3 linked regions of the Canis lupus familiaris genome follow. The protein of the gene in region 2 interacts with the protein of the main gene of each other region in a pairwise test. Links are inferred from orthologs where the notes say so. Each region holds a gene or a part of one and is shown on either strand. Other genes may lie near its edges.

Evidence for each region. The genes of interacting proteins can lie anywhere in the genome.
Region 1: the proteins of FATE1 (region 2) and BNIP2 interact in binary tests that used the Homo sapiens proteins (3 or more experiments, as listed by UniProt). The two-hybrid records come from large-scale screens. The link is inferred for Canis lupus familiaris from reciprocal best matches to the Homo sapiens genes FATE1 and BNIP2.
Region 3: the proteins of FATE1 (region 2) and SEC22C interact in binary tests that used the Homo sapiens proteins (3 or more experiments, as listed by UniProt). The two-hybrid records come from large-scale screens. The link is inferred for Canis lupus familiaris from reciprocal best matches to the Homo sapiens genes FATE1 and SEC22C.

Annotation. Positions count from the first base shown.
Region 1 is NC_049251.1:24,906,173-24,913,898, forward strand, and holds the start of BNIP2 (BCL2/adenovirus E1B 19 kDa protein-interacting protein 2), read right to left. Parts: upstream 4,662-7,726; 5' UTR 4,463-4,661; intron 1-4,462.
Region 2 is NC_049260.1:120,977,980-120,985,697, forward strand, and holds the start of FATE1 (fetal and adult testis-expressed transcript protein), read left to right. Parts: upstream 1-3,624; 5' UTR 3,625-3,719; coding exon 3,720-3,825; intron 3,826-4,848; coding exon 4,849-4,976; intron 4,977-7,718. UniProt on the Homo sapiens protein: Involved in the regulation of endoplasmic reticulum (ER)-mitochondria coupling. Negatively regulates the ER-mitochondria distance and Ca(2+) transfer from ER to mitochondria possibly implicating it in the regulation of apoptosis.
Region 3 is NC_049244.1:11,941,024-11,948,514, forward strand, and holds the start of SEC22C (vesicle-trafficking protein SEC22c), read right to left. Parts: upstream 4,662-7,491; 5' UTR 4,514-4,661; intron 4,303-4,513; exon of another isoform or gene 4,167-4,302; intron 3,995-4,166; exon of another isoform or gene 3,712-3,994; intron 1-3,711. UniProt on the Homo sapiens protein: May be involved in vesicle transport between the ER and the Golgi complex.

The DNA.
Region 1 (7,726 bases), on a different chromosome or scaffold from region 2:
ATACCTATCTTACCAATCTCTTCTATTTAGAACACAGAACTAGTATAAAAGACCAAAAGATTATGGCCATAAAGCCCAAATACTTAATGCCTATTAACTTAGAAATTAATTCTCAAGTGAGACTGAAACACTATCACTAAAGGTTTAAAACTATCTCTTTCAGAAGTTTTTAATTCACTGTACTCAATTTTTTTCTGAAGTCTTGTGTAATCACTTAAAAGCGAATATACTTCCGAAATTCAATAATCAGAAAAAGTTTCCATTATTTTGTTTTACCTTTTTGTATGTGTTGGAAAAATATCAGGATGTTCTTGTTGCCTTTTTCAAATATCCCACATACTTAGAAAAATATTTAATATCTCATAAATAAAAGCAGAGACTGAAAGTTGCTATCACTATATTCCCAACACCTAGCACAGTGCATGGCACATAAGCCTGTAAATGTTAGTTACAAGTAAGACTATTATAAGGTACGACACTGGATAGCAAGCCATTGTTTTGCTCTACCTCTTAGGCTTATTTTTCTTATTAAACTACATTAATAGGCTTCCTGTTGTTTTACTCTCAAAAAGTGTAATGAAAATATTTAGGGCAACCCACATACATGCAATTATCAATTTCTGTTGGTAAAATTATTCCTTATTTCTTTTTTTTTTTAAAGACTTTATTTATTTATTCATAGAGACACAGAGAGAGAGAGAGAGAGAGAGAGGCAGAGACACAGGCAGAGGGAGAAGCAGGCTCCATGCAGGGAACCTGATATGGGACTCCAACCCGGGTCTCCAGGATCACACCCTGAGCTGCAGGTGGTGCTAAACCGCTGCGCCACCGGGGCTGCCCTTATTCCTTATTTCTAAGAGAAATATGTAACTTGTGAAATTCTATAAGACAAATGATGTCTTTTAGCTCCCCTACTACTTGAAGAAGTTTATCACTTGAAAATAACTCAAGTGTTTCAGCCAATTCATTCAATTTTTATTTCAAAATCATATTGAAGCATGTCATGTTAATACAGCACATGGACATGGATATTTAGTTTGGGGATAATTATTTAAGCTAAACAGAACCAGCAGGAGACAGCAGACAGACTCAATCTTGCCTATTTCACCATAAATTGTAGAGAGAAAAGTACACTAGGTAGACAAAAAGTTCAAACAACTGAGAGAGTATTGTTCTTGGAAGCACTTAATCATCAGCAGCTGTAAGAACAGGAAACAAACAAGAAAGGAGCAATATAAGCACAACCACTTTGAAGGAAATCAGGACACCACTGACTCACAAGTTAACTGTGGCTGTTTCCCATTTTTTGTTCATAGATTTGGTAAATTAGAATGGAGGAAATTACACTTTAAGATGCTATTTGTTAAAATAACCAAATGCAACAAGAATAACTAGATTTCTCAACATACTGGTGGTACCGGGAGCACATGATTGCTTATGCCAGTTACCAGCAGAAGGCATACAGATAAATTCAAAACACCGGCTGACATCAGTGAGGTTAAAAATCAAGGAGAATGGATTACCTCCTGAGACAACTTCTGGAAGGGAGGTGTGGCAGTAAATTCAACCAAGATAAAGAAGGGGATTTCCCTATAAACTCAGCAATATAAGCAAAAATTAAATATTAAAATCACATTTACAACTGTCTGAATTATAAATTATAATCTTACATGCCACTTTACTATTATGTAGTTTAACAGTGCTGCTAGAATAGGTGCTAGTAACTACCATCTATGCTGAAATCAATTATAGTTGGCAGAAGGAAATGTCCAGGCAAGTCTTTTACTTCTGCATTTAAACAGAAGGGCTTCATTCTAAGTATTTGTGTTCACTTTTCCCTAGGAGGCTGGCAGCACTGGTAGTGTTACTGGAAAATACTTTAGACCAGTCTATATTTATGTTTACAAAGATCACCAAAACACCTCCAGAAAAATCTTATACGCTTGTCACTGCTTCCTTGAAAGCAGGGTCATACAAGTTTCTAAGACCGAAATGACAGTGAGATGTCACCTTACACCTGTCAGAATGGCCGTTCTTGAATAGACAAGAAATAGCAAGTGTTGGCAAGGATGTGCAGAAAAAGGAGTCCCTGTGCACTGTTGATAGGCATGTAAGTTGGTAAAGCCACTATGGAAAACAGTATGGAGGTTCCCCGAAAAATTAAAAGGAACTACCATTTGATCCAGCAATTTTGGGTATTTATCTGAAGGAAACAAAATCATTATCTCAATAAGGTATATGCAGCCCCATGTTCATAGCAGCATTATTTACAATCGCCAAGATATGGAGGCAACCTGTTTCCACCGATAAATGAATAGATTAAAAAATTGTGGTATACAGGGCAGCCCGGGTGGTTCAGTGGTTTAGCACCACCTTCAGCCCAGGGCCTGATCCTGGAGACCCGGGATCGAGTCCCACATCGGGCTCCCTGCATGGAGCCTGCTTTTCCCTCTGCCTCTCTGCCTCTCTCTCTCTCTCTCTCTCTCTCTCTGTGTCTCTCATGAATAAATAAATAAAATCTTAAAAAAAAAACTGTGGTATCCATATACAATGGAATATTATTCAACCATAAAAAGAATGAAATCTTGCCAGTTGGGACAACATGGATAGACCTTGGGGGCATTATGCTATGTAAAGTAAGTTAGAGAAAGACAAATACTATAAGGTCTCACTTACTTGTGGAATCTTAAAACACACACACACACACACACACACACACACACCAAGTTCAAAGATGTAAAGAACAGACTGGTGGATGCCAGACGGAAGAGGGGTTGGAGGAATGGGTGAAGGGGGTCAAACTTCCAGTTATAAAATAAATCCTAAGGATGTAATGTATAGCGTGTCGTGTTGATTATAGTTAATAATACTGTATTACAGGGGCGCCTGGGTAGCTCAGTGGTTGAGCATTAGCCTTGGGCTCAGGGTGTGATCCCAGAGTCCCAGGATCGAGTCCTGCATCAGGCTCCCCGCAGGGAGCCTGCTTCTCCCTCTGCCAGCTCTGTCTGGCCTTCCTTGTTTTAGATGCCTTCCTCCATCACAGCTCCTACTGGCGTTACTCCAAAGGCAAAGAAAAGAACCACTTTCCTTTTGGCATTTACTAACCACTTGTACATTCATCATCTGGTATGTTCCAATCAACAACTTTTGTGAGGTACGAAATATGGGTGTTATTTATCCCCGTTTTAGTTTACATATGAGGCAAATGACCCTACATTTTGGGTCCCAGATTAAATGCAGCCTGTTTCTAATACAGCACACTGTCTCCAGTTCACTGGCAACTTTATACAGCATAAGCCTGTAATGCCAGACTTGGTTACATTTAACTTCAAAGGTCCTCTAATGCTTAAAGACTACAACAGCACTGACTAATGACCACCTAGCTCAAGATCCATGTTTGCAGAAGTGGACCTGTCATACTTCCTGTATTAGCCCAACAATGTGAGGCGGCAATAGAGGAGATTATGAAAATAAGAATAGTCTAGAAGAAATGTAAAATGACGAGAACTAAGTAAAAGGTGTCCAAAGATCATCAAGATGATAGTATACAAGCTAACTAAACGGGGTAACTGAAGTTATCCATTTACAAGTTGCAGAAATTCTTATAAAATTTTAGAGAAGGAATATGTTTCGCTGAAAACGTAACTAGGCACTAAGATAAATAGAGATCCTAATTTAAAAAGGTGAGGAGGAGGGGGAAAAAAAAAGGCAACTGTAAAGTGCAATCACACACTTCACTCAACTAAACTCTAAGGCAGGCACTATGTCAACCAGGAGGAACTGGGCAAAAGCTGTGCTCTCCGAGGGCTCCCGCCAACTGGCAGACGAGGGAAGTTTCAAAGCAACGTTAACAGATCCGAACAGATTCCTGATTTAACTGGAGTTGATCTAGGAGATTTCCAGCTGCATGAGAGACGCCCAGGAAACGCAAACCATTAAGCAAAAGCTGATGTCTGAATCCACGCAGGAACTGGGCTTTTATACGTAGGAAGGCCCTCTAAAGCCCTCATTACCAAGGGCCGCTTCCGCGTCTATTCCCCGAGGGTACTGGGCACAGCAGACGTCCGAGTTTCTTTGTTCTGCACCGGGACTGACGCTGGTCTTAAATACGCGACCGAAGCGGCCCGGTCACCGCACCCAGACCAGGGGGTGTGCAGGGGGGCCCAGCGGGGGAGGGGGGGCAAGTCCCGCCCCGAACACAACAGCACAAACGGAAAAGGGGTGGCCGGGTGGCGGGTAAGCCTAGCTAAGGCAAACAGGAGCCGAGCCAAGGGCGGGGGCCTAAGCTGGGCGGGGATCCGGGAAGCGCGTCCCGGGCAAGCTCCCCGGCGGCCCCCTCCATCCGCAGCCCTCCGCGCCTCCCCTCTCGGGCTGTCCGGGGGGCACGCACCCCTCAGACGTCCGCCGCAGGCCTGCTCTCAGCCCAGCCCCGCCGTGCCCAGCCTTCCCGGGCCGCACTCACCCCGGAGGAAGCCTTGGCCCCCTCGTCTTCCTCGCCCCTCCAGGCCGGCGACGTGGGGCTGACGGCCAGGGCGCAGGAGGGAGCGCCGAGAGGAGCCCGCTCCCCTCGGACTGCAGCGGAGACCCGGGCCCAGTGCCCTGGCTACAGCCGCAGCGACAGCAGCTGACCCGGACGCAGACAGCCGCCGGGGCGGAAGTGACGGAATCCCGACCTCCTTCGGGCGCGGGGGCCGGCGGAGACGGAGGCGGGGCGTCTTTGGCCCTTGCCCCGCCCCCTCGGCCGCGCGGACTGACGCATGCGCATTCCGCCCGGGCTGGCCGCGCCTCCTCTCCTCCCGCTGAGACCCGGTCCTCGACTCTCAAAGGGACGTTTCTACATCCCTTCTGTGGGCTTTATTGATCCTTAGAATAATTTTATAGCATAGAATGGGTGAAAGTAGGGGAGGAAGAATCGCCATAAAGGTGCTGTAAGATCACCGTCACGCCTTCCAGACGCTGTTTCTGTTCCCGTCCGGCCGTGCACAGGTGGCGGAAGGGCCCAGCTCTGCGGACCCATCGCACCTGGCGCAGCGGCGCAGGTGTGCAGAGGGGCCTCAGATCCGCATCCGCCAAGTCCCCACGAGGGCGCAGGCGTCCGCCGATGGGACGGTGCATTTGGGAATGGGAAGAGGGAGCTTGGGGGCGACCGAAAAATGTCCATCACTGACCCGAAATGCGGCTCCCAGGTTTACGGGGTTTTGGCAACATGCACCCGTTCTGTCTCATCTCTGAAAACAGGGAAAAATAATACCTACTTCCTAGGGCTTTTGTGAGATAAAGTGCTGTTTATTAGACATACGACGACATACTATCATCATATACGTGTTTGATAATATTTTCCTCCAAGCAGTTTTGTGAAGTTAGCTGGCGGAGCAAACAAGACGGATCAGCTGATAAGCAGAGCCTTAGCTGAACAATTTCTTGGATCGTGCTTACGTCAGCGATTTTATCTTAAGTTTCAGATTTTTTTTCCCCCCCCGTAGTTTCCTATTTTGCTTTTTTCAGTCCTGCAATGAGGAGCATTCCTCACAAGGTGGCAGCAAGTCATTTGAAATTATATACAGTTATGTGGGGTTGGGTTTTTTGTTTTTTTTTTGTTTTTTTTTTTTTTTTTTTGCCATCTTTCTTTTTCATTTCTATGACTTGATTGTTCAGTTAGTTTGGTCGGTGTTTGCTTTGGTTTTGAATAGTCCATTCTACAATTTATCTTCTTATCCTCATCTCATGAATTAGCTATACTTATTGTTGAAACATTGGAAACTATAGAGAAGGTATACATTTAGGTATATCCTTTCAGATTTTTGTATATATATAACTATATAAATAGCACATATGTTTCTATAAAAATGAAATAAGTACCTAGTAGTCAGGTCTTGATCTCAGGGTCATGAATTCAAGTCCTGCATTGGGCTGTATGCTGGGGAGCCTACTTAAAATAAATAAAATAAGACAAGATAAAATTAAATAAAATATAAAAAATAAAAATACATACTGAACTCCTCAATGCCATCATTTTTATTATGGATAAATTTGTATTAACAATTCTTTATTGAACAAATTTAGTTGCTCCATTTTTTTAATGGTTGAAAACCACACTTTATAGAATGTCCAAAAAAGTTCAAGACATAAGACTAACTGATTTTTCAAACAACACACTAGGTATATTTTCAAATAATATGCTCAATATATATTTTTTCAGCTTTTAGGTGAAATGCCTGTAAGCCATGGGTCAAATTGTTAGCCTGAAAAAAGTATAATAAAAACACAGTTTTCGGGATGCCTGGGTGGCTCAGCGGTTGAGCATCTGTCTTGGGCTCAGGTTATAATCTATGTGTCTCCTTGAATAGGCAGATACTTGGAATATTAAAATTGGAAAATAATTTAGAAGAAAAAAAGTGTGGCTTTAGAACATATCATCTAGGGATCCCTGGGTGGCTCAGCGGTTTGACACCTGCCTTTGGCCCAGGGCGCAATCCTGGAGTCCTGGGATTGAGTCCCGTGTCGGGCTCCCGGCATGGAGCCTGCAAAGAAATGGAGCAAAACAATTTGGTGAATTGAGGTGACGTTGGTACTTCCAAAGTGCAGCTAAATAGGAGCTAAACAGATGGCGGGGGAGGGGTGGGAGTTGGGGCCAGTCAAGGAAGACTTTCGGAAGGGGGTCATCTCGAGCTTAGTAATAAAAGGAGGATCTTCCAAACTGAGGGAATGGCTTATGCAAATGTGCAGAGACTTCAAGAAACTGCCCCTTTTTCTTCATGACTGGAGCCAGATAAAAGGGGGAGCTTTTTTTTTTAGTGCTAAGGGTTTATTCAGAGCCAATATGATGAACAACATGGAAAAGCAACCAATTATTATGTTCCTCACAATAACAGCATTATTAGTATAAGTTCTGAGAGAACCACTTTGAAAGAGGCACCCCTCTTTTGAGTATATATTTTAGTATGTGTATTAATTCATTCACATTACTTTGCCATACTTCATACATCAAAACAAAAGCACTTAGCCAAAATAGAGAGTGTTGAGTCTTTATTTCCTCATCTCTACTGCCTCCTTGGATCCGAGAGATAGGATGAGAGATGATGAAGAAGGTATACCAGACAACACTAAGAAAATGCTTGTGTAAATTCAAATTTTAGAAGGCAGAATGTATATTAAATAAAACTCTTGAATAATGCTGCACTCCCCACTGTATAATTTTATAGACAGATTGTTCTTCTGGCTTACGAGCAAATAAATTCAGTGATGTTGGGCAGCTCACTCATAGTTTTTGAAAAAAATGTGAAATATCCTTTTTACATGGGCTGAATGTCTTTGCTAGTTGAGCTTGAGGGTAAAACTGGATACAATTATATATTCATTTAATTATTCATAACTTGAGTCTGAAATGTATGTATATATATTTTTCACTTATTCACTTTATAAAATTCTAAACTAAACCCAGCAGCAGTTTTATCTTTAGCATGGTGACAAGTTTCTTGTCGACAATGAACCAGTAAAAGAAATTATTCCAGAGAGAATTTGTGCTTCCCTATTTCAAAAAATCAAATTGGATTGCACACATATATTACACATCACTGTTACAAGATGCTTCCACATTTCACAGAGCACAGAGACGGAAGCAGCAGCACACATTTTTAAGAAATATTTCCATATGCAAAATTAGATTATGGCCATTCAAGAGGAAAACTAGGCTAATTTGCCAGAGAATTTTAGTCCATGGGACTTT
Region 2 (7,718 bases):
TTTTCTGGCCTTCTTCTTTGGGAGCCTTCCACTGGGGTCTAGGTCTCTGTAGCCCCCCACCTTCACTAAGCATGAGCCATTTTCTCAGGCGCCATAAGGCTTGGCCCAGTCCCCTGTGCTCTAGGGATTTTCCAGGCCTCGGGCCCCAAGGTTGTCACACTAGGCAGTGGAGGCTTCCCAGCCACGCTGTAAGGTAGGGATTGTTAGCTCCATCGTCCAGTGTGGAGACAGAGGCCCAAAGAAAGGAAAGACTTGATCAAGGCCAAATCGTGAGATCATGATTAGAATGGGCAGAGCACAGGGGCTGCCAGAGATAAAATAAAGGATACACAGTCAATTGTGAATATCAGATAAACCGTGAGAATACATCTTCAGTGTAAGTTTGTCTCAAACGTTGCGCAGAGTGTACTCACACTAGGAACTTACTTGTCCTGGGACCCGTGGGTGGCTCAGTGGTTGAGCACCTGCCTTTGGCCCAGAGCGTGATCCTGGGGTCCTGGGATTGAGTCCCGCATCTGGGGCCCCTCTGCAGGGAGCCTGCTTCACCCTCTGCCTGTGTCTCTGCCTCTCTGTCTCTGTGTCTCTCATGAATAAATAAGTACAATCTTTAAAAAAAAAAGAAACTTACTTGTCCTTTATCTGAAATTCAAATTTAGTTGGCGGTTTGTATTTGTATTTGCTCAGTCTGGCAGCCCTGGCCAGCAGAAGCCTATGGTTCCTGCTTCCCAGGCTCCTGGGTCCCCCCAAAGCACACTTCTCCACTCTTAAGGTGGCCTTCCAGAAAGCTCGGATTTCATTGCAGCTGCTCCACTGGATCTGGGAAGGGCTTCCTCAGGGCCTTCAGGAATGCAGGCAGGGCCTGGGTCTGCTGGGCTCCAGATTAGTCCCAGTGCTGGACAGGTGGGGCCAGGGAGGGGGCCAGGCAGTCCAGACCATGTCACCCTCTCTAGGCAAGTTGCAGCCCTTCCTTTTCTCTCTCACACTTTCCTTCCTCCCTCCTCCTTCCCTGCTTCCTCCTCTTCTTCCCTCCTCTTCCTGGCCCCAGCTGGGCTTGGTTCCTTTTGCAAATCACCTCCTCTTCCCCCCAGGGACTCTGGAGCTATTCCCTAGAGCCCAGGGTTCACCTCTGGTGATTGTATCAGTCAGGGTTCTCTAGAGAAAAGAAACCAGTAGGACTTATGTCAGTACATGTATGTATGTGCAAATGCCTATGTGTGTGTATACAGAGATTTATTTTGAGGAATTGGCTCCTGCCATTATGGGGCTTGCAAGGGCAAAATCTGCAGGGCAGGCCTGCACATTGGAATCTGAGGCAGGGAGAGATGCTGCAGTCTTTAAAAAAAATTGTTTTTTTTTTTTTAAAGTTTGAGCATAGTCCACATACAATGTTACATTAGTTTCAGGTGTACAATATAGTGATTCAACAAGTTTGTACATTATGCTATGCTCAGTACAATTGTAGCTGACACCCGTCACCATACAATGTTATTTTAATATCACTGACTCCGTGTTCCTGGTGTTCCTGCCGTGCTTTTTACTCCCATGATTTATTCCTTCCATATCTCCCACTCCCCTGGACCTATTTTGCCCATCCCCTACCCCCCTCGTCTCTGGAAATCAGCAGTTTGTTCTTTGTATTTATAGGTCTGAATGTGCTTTTTGTTTGTTGTTTTCGACTCCACATATGAGTGGAATCATATGGTATTTGTCTTTCTCTGTCTGACTTATTTCACTTAGCATAATACCCACTAGGTCCATCTACATTGTCACAAACAGCGTGATTTCATCTTTTTTAATGTTTGCACAATATTCCACTGTATGTGTATATGTCATGTCTTCCTCATTCGATATCCAATATTCTTATTGATGGACACTTAGGTCACTCTGTATCTGGGCTGTTGTAAATAATGCTGCCATAAAAATAGGGGTGCATATGTCTTTTCACATTAGTGTTTTCATTTTCTTTTTTTATTGTTGTTTTGTTTCATTTTCTTTTTTTAAGATTTTTTTAAATGTATTTATTTACTCACGAGAGGCAGAGAGAGAGAGAGAGAGAGAGAGAGAGAGAGGCAGAGACACAGGCAGAGGGAGAAGCAGGCTCCATGCAGGGAGCCCGACATGGGACTCGATCCGGTCTCCAGGATCACACCCTGGGCTGAAGGTGGCGCTAAACCGTTGAGCCACCGGGGCTGCCCTTTGTTTCATTTTCTTTAGGTAAATACCCAGTAGTGGGATTATTGTTTCATACAGTATTTCTATTTTTAATTTTTTGAGGAAACTCAATTCTATTTTCCATAGTGGCTGCACCAATTTGCATTCCCACCAACCGTGCGTGAGGGTTCCTTTTTTTTTCCATGTCCTCACCAACACTTGTTTCTTGTATTGTTGATTTTAGCCATTCTCACAGGGGTGAGGTGATACCTCATGGTGGTTTTGATTTGCATTTCCCTGATGATGAGTGATGCTGAGCATCTTTTCACATGTCTGTTGGCCATCTGTATGTCTTCTTTGGAAATAAGTCTATTCAGGTCCTCTGCCCCTTCTTAAATTGGATTTTTTTGTTTTTCTAGTGCTGACAGTTGTATCAGTTCTTTATATATTTTGCATTTTAACCCCTTCTCAGATACATCATTTGCCCATATCTTTTCCCATTCACTAGGTTGCCTTTCTGTTTTGTTGACAGGTTCCTTTACTGTGCCAAAGCTTTGTATTCTGATTTAGTCCCAGGAGTTTTTGTTTGCTTTTGTTTCCCGATGTTGCATTCTTGAGCAAAATTTCTTCTTCGCTGGAAAACCTCAGTCTTTGCTCTTCAGGCCTTTCAACTCATTAAATGAGGCCTATCCACATTATCAAGGATTAGTAATGTCTTTTACTTAAAGTCCACAGAGTGCAAATGTCAACCAAAGCTCCAAAATAACTTCATAGCAACACCTAGACTAGTGTTTGATGGAATAACTGGGAACTATAGGCTACCCAACGAACAGATAAACTTGACCCTCACAGTGGTCTAATCATTAGGGAAGCTGAGAGAGAATTTGGACTTAGACCAGGGACTGCAGGGCCTGCCTGGGGACAGTGGGCCCTCCAGTGGCTACAGGTAGATCCCTTCTTTCCTGCCCTTCCCTCCTTAGATTCTCATGGTTCCTGCTCAGACTGACCCAAGGCATTAAAAGGCCATCTCCCCTGGGAACTCTACATTGGGGGGAAACAAGATGTGCTCTGTAGAGGATGCCTCCTGAGGGGAGCTGTGGCCTGAAATACTTGCCAGAGCTGGGCTTGCAGAAGCCACAACAAGTTTGGGATCTAACCCTGTTCTGGCTACTGACTGGCTTTGGGGTCCTGTGCCAGTATCTACCTCTCTTTAGAAATGATGGAGAGTAGATCCCACTGGCCCCTCAATGGGGCCAAATCATGTGACCCGAGAGCCAGGGTAGTTCTCACAGGCAAAGTTTCTGAGATAAGTATCAGAAACTCCTCCTCCTAAGTTGCTTACAGAGTAGCAGGGGAGAAGACTGTGAACCAAGCCAATAAGATACAACAGGAACACAAGGTGCTGGGTCCAAGGCCTGAGTCCTGTGGGAGAGTGTGGCTCCACCCCCATGGCCAGATATATCTTCCTCGAGCTCCTGCCCCTGGAAGAGCAGACTTTCCAAGAGTCTGCTCTGTGCCCGGCTTCCTGTGTATCCTGGCTATAGCTTAATAGCTAAGCGCTAGCTGTGATGGCAGGAGGCCCCCCTACTATCAAGGAGGAGATGGAAACATCCATCGCTGAAGAGCTGGTTCCTGGAAACTATGGGAAAAGCCAGGAGCACCTGGTGATAGCAGGTGAGGAGCCCCTGTAATGTCCCTTTCCTTTGGGTGTCTGCACCCAGTCACATGTGTTGGAGAAGGTGTGTTCATGGCTGGGAAGAGTCATATATATGCAAGTATGTGTGGCTATGTGTGTGTCTGTGCCTTGGTGTGCGTATACCTGTATTTGTGCCTTGATGAACAGGAAGCTGGGGGGGAAAGGTATTGATGATGTGAGCATTTTGAAGCCTGTGAGAGAGTAGGATGGGATCCACATGTGTGGTCCTTATCTCCCCCTGTCCAAGCTACCACTGTGTTTATGGCAAAGTATCCAGAGCGCTCAATTTATAAGATCATTCAGACCAATTCTCTCTCCTTTTTAATGCCTTTTCCTCCTTTAGAGTAAAATCCAAACTCCTTTCCTTGATCTACAAGAGCCAGCCAATGCCACCTCCTCAATATATTTCATGCTGTGGTATGATGACCCACAGCACACTGCATTTATACTTGTCCTCATAAGACCCGAAGGCTGATTCTTCCTGATAGCCTTTGTGTTGACTGCTACCTCTGCCTGGGATGCTGTTTTCCTAGATTTTCCATGGCTGCCATCATTTTTGTCTTTCAGGTCTCTGCCTCACAGGTGTTTCTGGCTTTTCTAGAAGTAGCCCTTCCTTCCACCATGTTGCCCTGTTCTTATCATTTTGGGAGCATGTATCTCTTGATCTGAGTTAACACTGATAGATTATACCCATTTTGCACCCCTCACTTCAGCTAAGCACACATAGACAGTTGATTACTAGATTGCTGAGATCTTGTGTCTTGGTCATTGCTCTCCCTCCAGTAACCTAGCCCAGAGTTTGGCCCTCAAGAAATACTTACTAAACTTTTAAACAAATGAACAGACTGAGGCTTGGGATCTGCCAGGGGACAACAGTGAATGAATATTGAATGACTCCTAAGAAGTTTGGGTACCTTATCCTCTTTCTGGTGTGTCCTGTGTCCAGGAAGCCTTGGTATAGCCTCTATGGGTGTTTCTGGGGCCTCTCTTCTTTTGCCTAGAAATGATGGAGCATGGATCCCAGTCTGTGGGTGCTTCTCAGCGGCGACAGAAGGCGGATCCAAAGGCTGCTGGCTCTGCTGCAGGTCAATCGGGTTGGAATATGACTGGCAACCGGAGCAAGAAAGCGGTACTGTATGGAGTCCTTGGCATGCAGTGGCTAGGCTGGGGTTGGGACAACAGACTAAAGGGGCTCCAGCTTCATGACGGTAGGTTGAGCAGAGCCAGATGTTGACTTGGGGCCAAAGGAAAAAGCTTTTGTGTACCAGTGAGGCAATGAAGGCAGGGATGTCCTTTGAGAGGTCAGGGCCATCCTTTGGTAGGCTGGGAGCTCAACCTTGGGTTTCCAGAACACCGGATTCACATATTCCTTGGGGACTACATATACACTTTATTTTGCAAAACTCTATTGTGTGTGAAATGACACTTTCCTTTATAAATAAATAATTCTATATGTATATTTCCTTCCATATCTATATTATCTATATTATCTATATAAATTATAACTATATAAATTATTTAATTATCAACTAAATAATCAGCCTGGAATCATGAGAATCATTGATGAATAAAAGGAAGGAAGGATAGGAAAGAAAGAATCTGTCTGTAGCCATTGGAGGCCCCACTGTCCCCATACAGGTCCTACAGTCTCTGGTCTAAGTCCAAATTCTCCCTCAGCTTCCCTAATGATTAGATCACTATGAGGGTCAAGTTTACCTGTTTGTTGGGTAGCCTGTAGTTCCCAGTTATTCCATCAAACACTAGTCTAGGTGTTGCCATGAAGGCATTTTGGAATTTATTTTATTTTATTTTTATTTTTATTTTTTTAAAGATTTATTTATTTATTTATGATAGAGAGAGAAAGAGAGAGGCAGAGACACAGGAGGAGGGAGAAGCAGCTCCATGCACCGGGAGCCCGACGCCGGACTTGATCCCGGAACTCCAGGATCGCGCCCTGGGCCAAAGGCAGGCACTAAACCGCTGAGCCACCCAGGGATCCCCATCATTTTGGAATTTTAGTTAGCATCTACACTCTGTGGACTTTAAGTAAAAGACATTAGTAATCCTTGATACTGTAGATGGACCTCATCTACGCTATTAAATAGAAATATACATACATAAAACAATATGATTCTCAAGTCTGGAAAAAGATTAAGACAAGTTAGGTTCCTATGTTCCCTGGCTGTTAGGAAATCCAATCAATTGAATCTGACCATTATGTAGCCAATCCTTTAAAGTACCTTTAATGTGGGTTAAGAAAAGCTCTGGAAAACTGGCAGGTACACTGTTACAAAGGATACTGGGAAAAGGTGGTCATTTTGGAGAGGAGGGAGACCTGAGTGTTCTAGGGAATCCCGTGAGATCTCTCACTGTGTAGCCAATCCTTTAGGTTACATTCACTGCTAAGTGAGAAGAAGCTTTGGAAACATGGTTGCTATACTGTTGCAAAAGTTGCTGGAAAAAGAGAACCCAGTTGGAGAGGAGAGGGACCTGACTGTTGAAGGGAGTCATCTGAGTTTCAAGTTCTGTATCCAATCTGTTCCACACTTTCACTGTGAGGGAGGGAAAGCTTTAGAAAAATGGTTGTTATACTGTTGCAAATGTTACTGGGAAAAGGCAACTCGGTTGCAGAGGAAGGGAAACCCAGTGTTCTTGGAAATCATCTGAGTCTCATTGTTCTGTAGCTAATCCTTTAAGCTACATTCACTCTGGGTGAGGGAATGTTCTAGAAAAAAAATGGCAGCCATATTGTTGCAAAGATTACTGGGAAAAGGTAGCCATGTTGGAGGAAGGATGACTCGACTATTCTAGGGAATCAGTTGAGTCAGGTAGTTCTGTAGCAGATTCTGTTAGCCAGAGTCACCATGGTTGTTACACTGTTGCAGAAGCTAGTGGGGAAAGTCAATAAGATTGGAGATTCCGGAGGCCTGGCTGTTCTAGGGAATGAGATATGATAAATGCCTAAGTGATTCCACTGCCAATGAATAAAGAGAAAAAGAGCTCCCAGAGACCTCTTGGGAATGGAAATAAGCTAGAAATACTGAATTGGTTTAGTCTCCAATGGCAGAAGTCAAATCAGGTTGCTCCAGCAGGTCAGGCTCCAGCAAGCCACCCATGCCCATGAGATTGAGGCAGAATGGGATGAGGGGGGGCAGTGGGGAGATATAATATCTGGATTAATTACAGTTACCTTTTAGGACCACAGGAATACTTTAAAAAGAAACAGCTGATATACTGATATGTATTATATACTAAATATATTGAATTTAGAAATTAGACATTTAGAAATAAGAAATTTACCAATTCTATTTATCATTGACTTTTGAGCACCTCCCCCCAAATGGAACTACCACCACCTTTGACAGAATCACAGCATGAAAGGCCAAAATTTCATGATAGTGTTTTGCTGATTTGGGTGTTGAGGAAGTAGTGTGCCTTGAAGAGTAAATGAAAATAAAAATAACACTATTTGAAGTAGTAGGCAGAAGCTAGGAGTTAATGAAGTTCATAGATTTTCTTAATCTCCATCAAAGTGCTAGCTATAAAATTCTTATATATTATTATGCATATAATTCTAAATTCACAACCATTCCTGGCTTTATTTATTTTATTTTATTTTTAAAAGATTTTATTTTTCTATTCATGAGAGACAGAGAGAGAGAGAGGCAGAGATACAGGCAGAAGCTGGCTCCATGCAGAGAGCCTGACGTGGGACTCAATCCCGGGTCTCCAGGATCACACCCTGGGCTGATGGCAGTGGTGCTAAACCTTTGAGCCACCCTGGCTGCCCCCATTCCTGGCTTTAAATGACTGCTCTGCGACTTACCTGTTGTGTGACTTGGACAAGTAACATGACCTCTCTGTGTCTCAG
Region 3 (7,491 bases), on a different chromosome or scaffold from region 2:
AGAAAATGTAAGAAAAGATCTTCAGAACTTGGGGAAGAGTTCTTAGACATGACATCAAAAGCATAATCCACAAAAGAAAAATTAGTAAATTGGATATCATTAAAATTAAACATTCAATCTATAAAAGCTCACGTGAAAAGGATGAAAGGACAATCCAGAGACTGGGAGAAAATATTTGTAAACCACATATCTGTTATATAGATACCTAGATAACTAGAAGTTATAAAGAACTCTTAAAACTCAACAGTAAGAAAACAATCCAGTTAGAAAATAGGCAAAGTGCATGAACAGACATTTCACCAAAAAGAATATATGGATGACAAATAAGCACATGAAAAGATGTTCAGCATCACTAGCAATTAAGGGAAAAGTAATTTAAGATCACAATGAGATAAAACTGTATACCTATGAGAACAGCTAAATTTTTTAGAGTGAAAATATCAAATGCTGGTAATGCATGCATAGGAACTGGATCTCTCATGTGTTGCTGGTAAGACTCTAAAATGGAAGAGTGACCCTGGAAAGTCGTTTGGCAGTGTCTTCTAAAACTAAACATGCAATTAATGTATGATCTATCAATCACACTCCTGGGCATTTATCTCACAGAAATGAACATTTATGTCCACACAAAAATCTGTGTACAATTGTTCACAACGGCTTTATTTATAACAGCCAAGAGCTGGAAACAACCAAATACCCTACAAAGTGACTAGTCAAATAAAACAGTACATTCATATCATGGAATACTACTCAGCAGTAAAAAGAAATAAACTACTAAAACTCAGATCAACTTAGATGGATCTCAAGAGTACTGTGTCAAATGAAAAAAAATCCAATCTCAAAAGGTCACATACCATAGGAATCCTTTTATGTCACATTCTCAAAACGACAAAATCACAGACAGAGAAATTATTAGTGGCTGCCTAGGGTTAGGGATGGTGGGGAGAAGAGGTATGGGTGTGACTAGAAAGGAGAACAAGAGGAAGATATTTGTGGTGATGCAACAATTTTGTATCTTGATTATAGTGGTAGTTATAGGAATCTATACATATGGTAAAATGTCATGGAACTATATGTACTTTTATCAAGGCTAATTTCCTGGATTTGAGACAGGCACTAAAGGAGGGCACTTGATGGGATGAGTACTGGGTATTATACTGTATGTTGGCCAATTGAATTTAAATATCTTAACTTTTTTTTTCCTGGATTTGATATCGTACTATACTTACATTACGTAAGATGTAACCAATCGGGGAAACTAAGTAAAGGGTATATGGAACCTCTCTGTACTATCTTTGCAAATTCCTATAATTATTTTTAAATAAAATTTGAAGAAAAAAAGTATTAACTTAAGGTCTTTATACCACTTACTTAAATTATGCTCCTATCTGCTTTTTATGTTTAAGTATTACTTTTAGATATCTCTAAAGTAGATCAATACTCTTGTCTGCTAATTAATTGAAGTTTTGAGGATCTATGCTTGAATGTTGAAAAATATGTTTTATAGCAAGCAGGCTCTATAACTACATGACATTTCCAAACTGGAAGGGGTTCTAATCTTAGAGTTAATTAATTAAAATAAAAGGTGTTTGTAGATAACTAGTATTCAGTTTAAAAAAAAAAAACAAGAAGTAAGGCAGCCCGGGGGGGCTCAGTGGTTAAGCATCTGCCTTCAGCCCAGGGCATGATCCTGGAGACCCCGGATCGATCCCACATCGGGCTCCCTGCATGCAGCCTGCTTCTCCCTCTGCCTGTGTCTCTGCCTCTCTCCCTCTCCCCCTGCGTCTCAAATAAATAAATAAATAAATAAATAAATAAATAGTAAATAAAAAACAAGAAGTAGTGGTATAAATCTGGAAAATCATGCCACAATTATAGAAAAAAATTATCAATTATACAAGGGTAAAAGCACCCTCAGAGTACTCACACAGAGACACTAGTATGTCTTCCCTGCTCCTTCTACAGGCCAGTGGGACCTTATAACCTGACACCATGCCTGGCACACATGAGGAAGCCCTCAGTAAAAACTGCTAAGTAAATGAATGAATGACCTAAGAGCTGCCTTATTTTTGCCCACTGAGCCAAGAAATGCGGGTTTGCAGATCTTGCTATATTCCGAATATTTTTCCACAATAAATTTCTACTTGCAGAGGAAAAAAATTAATAGAAGTAGAATTTTTTTAAAGGAGAAACTGAATTAGTAATCAAACATACAGCACCTGAGTTACTACCAGGCTTTATAAAAATGGTATCTTAATCTGCCTCTTCCATTTCCTAAATCCTCTGCTCAGCATCTATTTATAAACTGCTCATGTCATAGATTATCCCTATTCTATCAGCAAAGACTTTGGGCCTAACTGGAGGCCACCCTTGTTCCCAATGTTGTTTTTTCTTTCCTCGGTCTTACACTTAGCCCTCTCCCAAATCCCTACCACATATATGCCTCCCCCTCCTCTCTCCAAAAGAGAGAGAAAGAAAGCATGAGAGAAAAACAGCATTAAGTGACCAGGGCCTTGCAAAATAGTAGCATAAACAAGCAAAACAAGTTTAATTTGGCACACAAATATTCAAATATGTGCTCACCATAAGGCATATTACCCATTCCTCAAATACACAATATAGAAAACAAAATTGAGTTATGTCATCCTTACTGAATTCATCTTCAGCCACAAGACTTGAGAACTGGTTACCCAAATTGTAGATCACTCAGGCTCCTTTGTTCCATGTTGCTTGGGGATAGTGGGTGGAGGTGCGTGGGTAGAGGTCAACTCTTTCATAGGAGCTAAGAAGAGCAGAGGCCTGAACTTGATAGCAACTCCTATGCAAGACACTGTGCTAGAACTTTTAAACTGATAATGTTATTTACTCCTTATAACTATCTATGAAGTAGGCATAATCTATACCAGACAGGTGGGGAAACTGTAGCTCCCAAGGCATAAGTGATATGGAGCCAGGGTTCAAACCCAAAGTTCCTTACTCAAAATATTCAAAAACCTATATAACCTTTTCATTACACTCTCCCTCTCTAAATCCAATCTGTGGGATTACAGCTATTTTATTTTCTCTTTCTCCTAGAGCATCACTACTCAACTAATCAGAGACCTGTTAATAGAACAGGGTTTAAGACCTGTTTAAGAACAGGGTTCTTAAAAAAGAACTCTTTTTACAACTGTTCATACTCCTCGTGTTACTTTTAGTAAGTAAGTCAGTTTTCCTCTCTGACCGTCAATCACCTTTCCGATGCAGCTGGTTTCTGAGGCTCCTTCTAAGAATAAAACTTTTCCATTGCAAGATGTCTTCTGTGTTGTGAACACAAACACTCAGAGCTCTAAGAACCATTGTCTAAAATGTATTTTCCAGAGCAAACACCGTTATATCGATTTAATTCTATATACCAGTATTAAACCACTTTCAATTATTTGCATTTTAATTTCACTAAAATTGCCTTTCTCGAGATGAATTCCTTTGTAAAACTTAACTAAGATTTACCTTATCCATCAGTCTGAGCTTTATTTTTTTGTTCTGACCATGTGACAAGTATCACCAATTACTTTTCGCCAACTGGGAATATTCTTTTGTGGCTCTGATTTCCAAAAACAAAACAAAACAAAACAGAAAAACAAAAAAAACTAATTTTCCCCGGAGTGCTTCATCCTTCTGGCTCTGGAGGTCCAGAGGTAAGCCTCTAATAGGCACAAATGTACATCTCACCTCCTCTATATACCTGATGTTCGGAAAACTGGTCCAGTGTGCCCAGGATTTGGTACCGCAAGCCGTAGAACTCCGGCATGCCAAGGAAAGTTTGCTATTAAAATTAAACAGTACTCTGACCGGGGCTTCGCGGACAATGAAGGAAACGATCGCCCCCTCTCATCTGGACACACCCCTTCTCCTCCCACTGGGAGCAGCGATCGGCGCGCAGCTGTCAGCTCGGGGTCCCTGCCGGCGCGCGCCTCCGCCGTCCCCGAGTCGGCAGACCCGCCGGGGGAAGCCAGGCGGACAGAGGACTCCGACGAGCCCCACGGAGCCAGGTGGGGCCAAGCCCGGCCCGAGGGAGGGGCGGGCCCGGCGCCGCCTCCACCTCCAGGCCCGCCCTGCGCCACACCCGACCCCGCCCGCTTTCGGCTAACGGGCCGCGGCGCCCGGCTCCACCCGCGAGCCCTCACCTCGCCCACGGCGGCCTCCGGGAGTCGGCGCCCGCGGGTCGCCCCGCCTCGCCGCAGTACCACCCGCCGCCGCCTCCGCAACCTCAGCCCACCGGGCGGACCCGGCCCAGGTCACTGGCGGCCCAGGCGCAGGTAGGCGGAGGTGCGCATGCGCAGGCCTTGAGTCTCCATTCGCTGCTGCTAAGCGACACCCGCACCCGGGCCGACCAATCCCGGAGCGCTCTCCCCGCCCGCTCCCCGCGCAGTCCCGACCCGGAGGCTTCTTAAAGGGCTGCGACCCGAAGGCGCCCGGGCTGTGGCCCCGGCGCGCGCGCCTCTCGGCTTGCGTCCCTTCTCGGGGCTCTCACCCGGGTGGGCTTGATGTCCAGGCCTGTAGTCCCCACGTCCGGAGGTGCCAGGAGACTTCTCCGTCTCCGTTCGGTTCCTGCCGGGGTAGAGTACACGACTGACGCGCCGAGGCAGGGAGGTTCCGCGGAACTGCGCGACACGCCCCGGCTGTGGGTTCCGCTGCCTGCGCGGCGGGGCGGGAAGCCCGAGATAGGCGAAACCAAAGAGCACAGCCTCCTGCCACCTCGGACGAGGTGCTGAAGTCCGACCCTGGAGGGACACACCTCAGTCTGGCGGGGGAGGCGCTCACAGATACCACAGATGCACGGCCCGCTGCAGGGAAGCTGAAGTCGTCCATTTAGTTTTCCTCCAACAAATTTTGAGCACCTGCTGTGTGTCAGACACTATGCCAGGCACTGGGGACACAGAAGGAACTCCTGACACTAAAAACTATGTTAAGAGAGGGCAGAGGGCAGCCCGGGTGGCGCAGCGGTTTAGCGCCGCCTTCAGCCCAGGGCCTGATCCTGGGGCCCCGGGATCGAGTCCCGCGTCGGGCTCCCTGCATGGAGCCTGCTTCTCCCTCTGCCTGTGTCTCTGCCTCTCTCTCTCTCTCTCTCTCTCTCTCTCTCTCTCTCTCTCTGTGTCTCATGAGTAAATAAATGAAATCTTAAAGAAAAGAGAGAGGGCAGAGTGAGAGCACCAATCGAACAATTCAACAGTTACACGTGTGTTTAAATACAAACCGAGACGCGTGCTCTTCAGAGAGGAACAAGGTTTCCTTTTTAAGATGTTTTTATTTTATTTATTCATGAGAGACACAGAGAGAGAGGCAGAGACACAGGCAGAGGGAGAAGCAGGCTTCCTCTGGGGAGCCTGATGGGGGACTCCATCCCAGGATCCTGGGATCACGACCTGAGCCAAAGGCAGATGCTTAACTACTGAGCCGCTCAGGCATCCCAGGAACAAGGCTTTTTAGAGAAATTACGGGAGCTTCCGGTCTGAACTTGGGAGTCGGAGGAGGCTTCTTTGAGAATGTGACACCAGCTGACTAGTAGCTAAGGAGGCAAAAAGGGATAGAAGACTGGTTCAGACAGAGGGTAGAGTATGTACAAAGAACAGGGAGGCAGCAAGGCTTCTTTGAGGGATGAAAAGAAACGGGGTAGTACATGAGAAGCTAGTGTTCAACAGGCACAGAATTTCAACTGGGAAGGAGAAAAAGTTCTGAAAATGAATAATGGTGATGGCTGCACAACAATGTATAATTTTAAACGTCACAGAATTGTACATTTAAAAATGGTTAAAACGGGGCAGGGGTGGAGGAGCGGGTGGCTGGGTGGCTCAGTTGATTAAATGTCTGCCTTCAGCTCAGATCATAATCCCCGGGTCCTAGGATGGAGCCCTGGGTTGGGCTCCCTTCCCAGGGGAGTCTGCTTTCCCTCACCCCTCCTTCCCATTCGTGCTCTCTCTTGCTCACTCTCTCAGATAAATAAATAAAATATTTTTAAAAATAAAAATAATATCTTTAATAAATAAATGGTTAAAATGGTAAATTTTATGTATATTTTACCACAAAGAAGAAAAAGACAAGAAAGATAAAAAAACTCAGAGTTTAGAGAGTAAGGAATATGGTGAGAGCCACTAGAGAGAATAGAAGAGCTAAGACCACCTATCTCCTATCTCTCTGATAGGAGAGCTGGGAAGCCAATGCAGCCATCTGGGCATGAGAGGATGAAGTTGGAGCTTGGACTTAGACCCGAGCGATGGTGAAGAGGGTGAGAACTAGGCAGTCTGCAGAGACATAGAGGAGAAAAATCAACAAGACTTGGTGATGATCTGGATGTGAAACGGTAACAAAGTAGCTTCAAGGACAATGCCACTGTTCAGCCTTGAGTGACTGGGTAGAAAGTGGAGGGATTCATGGATATAAAGAACGCTGGAAAAGGATCTGATTTTGGAGAGACGAATGATCACTAGTTCCATCTAAGACAAACTGAATTTGAGGCACCCTTTGACACTTCTGGTTGGGATGTCATTGTACACAGTCGAACATACAGGTTGGCATTCCATGTACAGGTCTGGGCTGGACATAGACTTTTGAAAATCATCACCAAATGGGCAGAAATTGAAGCAGACCTCACATAGAGAAAAATTACAAAATGAAAACAGAAGAGAGCTATGACAGAGTTGACCTCCAGGGATCGCCACTGAGTCAGGGTTGGCCTGTGTGACAAATGATCATGAGGCTAGATCATAAGAGACACAAAGGATAAAAACAATGAGATTTGATTGGTAAAGGAGATTGAAACCCCTTCATTGTATGTGCCAGGAAAGAGGCTAGGATTCCCTCTCAAGGTGCATTCACACGTGAATGGAGATGAGGTCTTCTCACCACGGTCATGAAAACAAGGCTCTGGCTTGGAATGAGGAAGGAAAAATTGGCACCAGACCTACAGCTTTTGAATATGGAGCCCCGGGTTCTCAGAATCTACAGTTTGAGTGCTTTATAATAGGGCTTTGTGCCTTCTGATTGGTGCAGCTCATGTGACTGGGGCACCAGAGTGGACTGGGCTAAAAGGTAAGATGTAGAATCTGAAGTCCTAGCCCTCCTCTCCATCACTGGTCATTTTGACTTTCCCAGGCTTCTTCATCCCTCCACTTCAGGATCACATCCTGAACTGCTTATCACCATAGAAGAGCTCCACGTTTGAAGTTGTAAATGCAGACACCTGATCTCTGTCCCTTGACTGTTCTCAGAAATCTGCCCACTGTTCTCTGGCCTGCAGAAGCCTCCACTCCACTTGTCCTTCTTACTTTGTTCAATGTATCACCTCTCCCCAATCTTTATTTCCTTCCCCATCAGCTGAAAGTCCAAGGTTTATCACTTCCATCACCTTTTTCCCAATATGCTTACCTCCATTCTGCAATTATTCTTCTGTCACACCTGCCTGGCAGGTCTCCAACTCTGGGGAAAAAAAATCCAACCTTCTGGGTTTCTCTA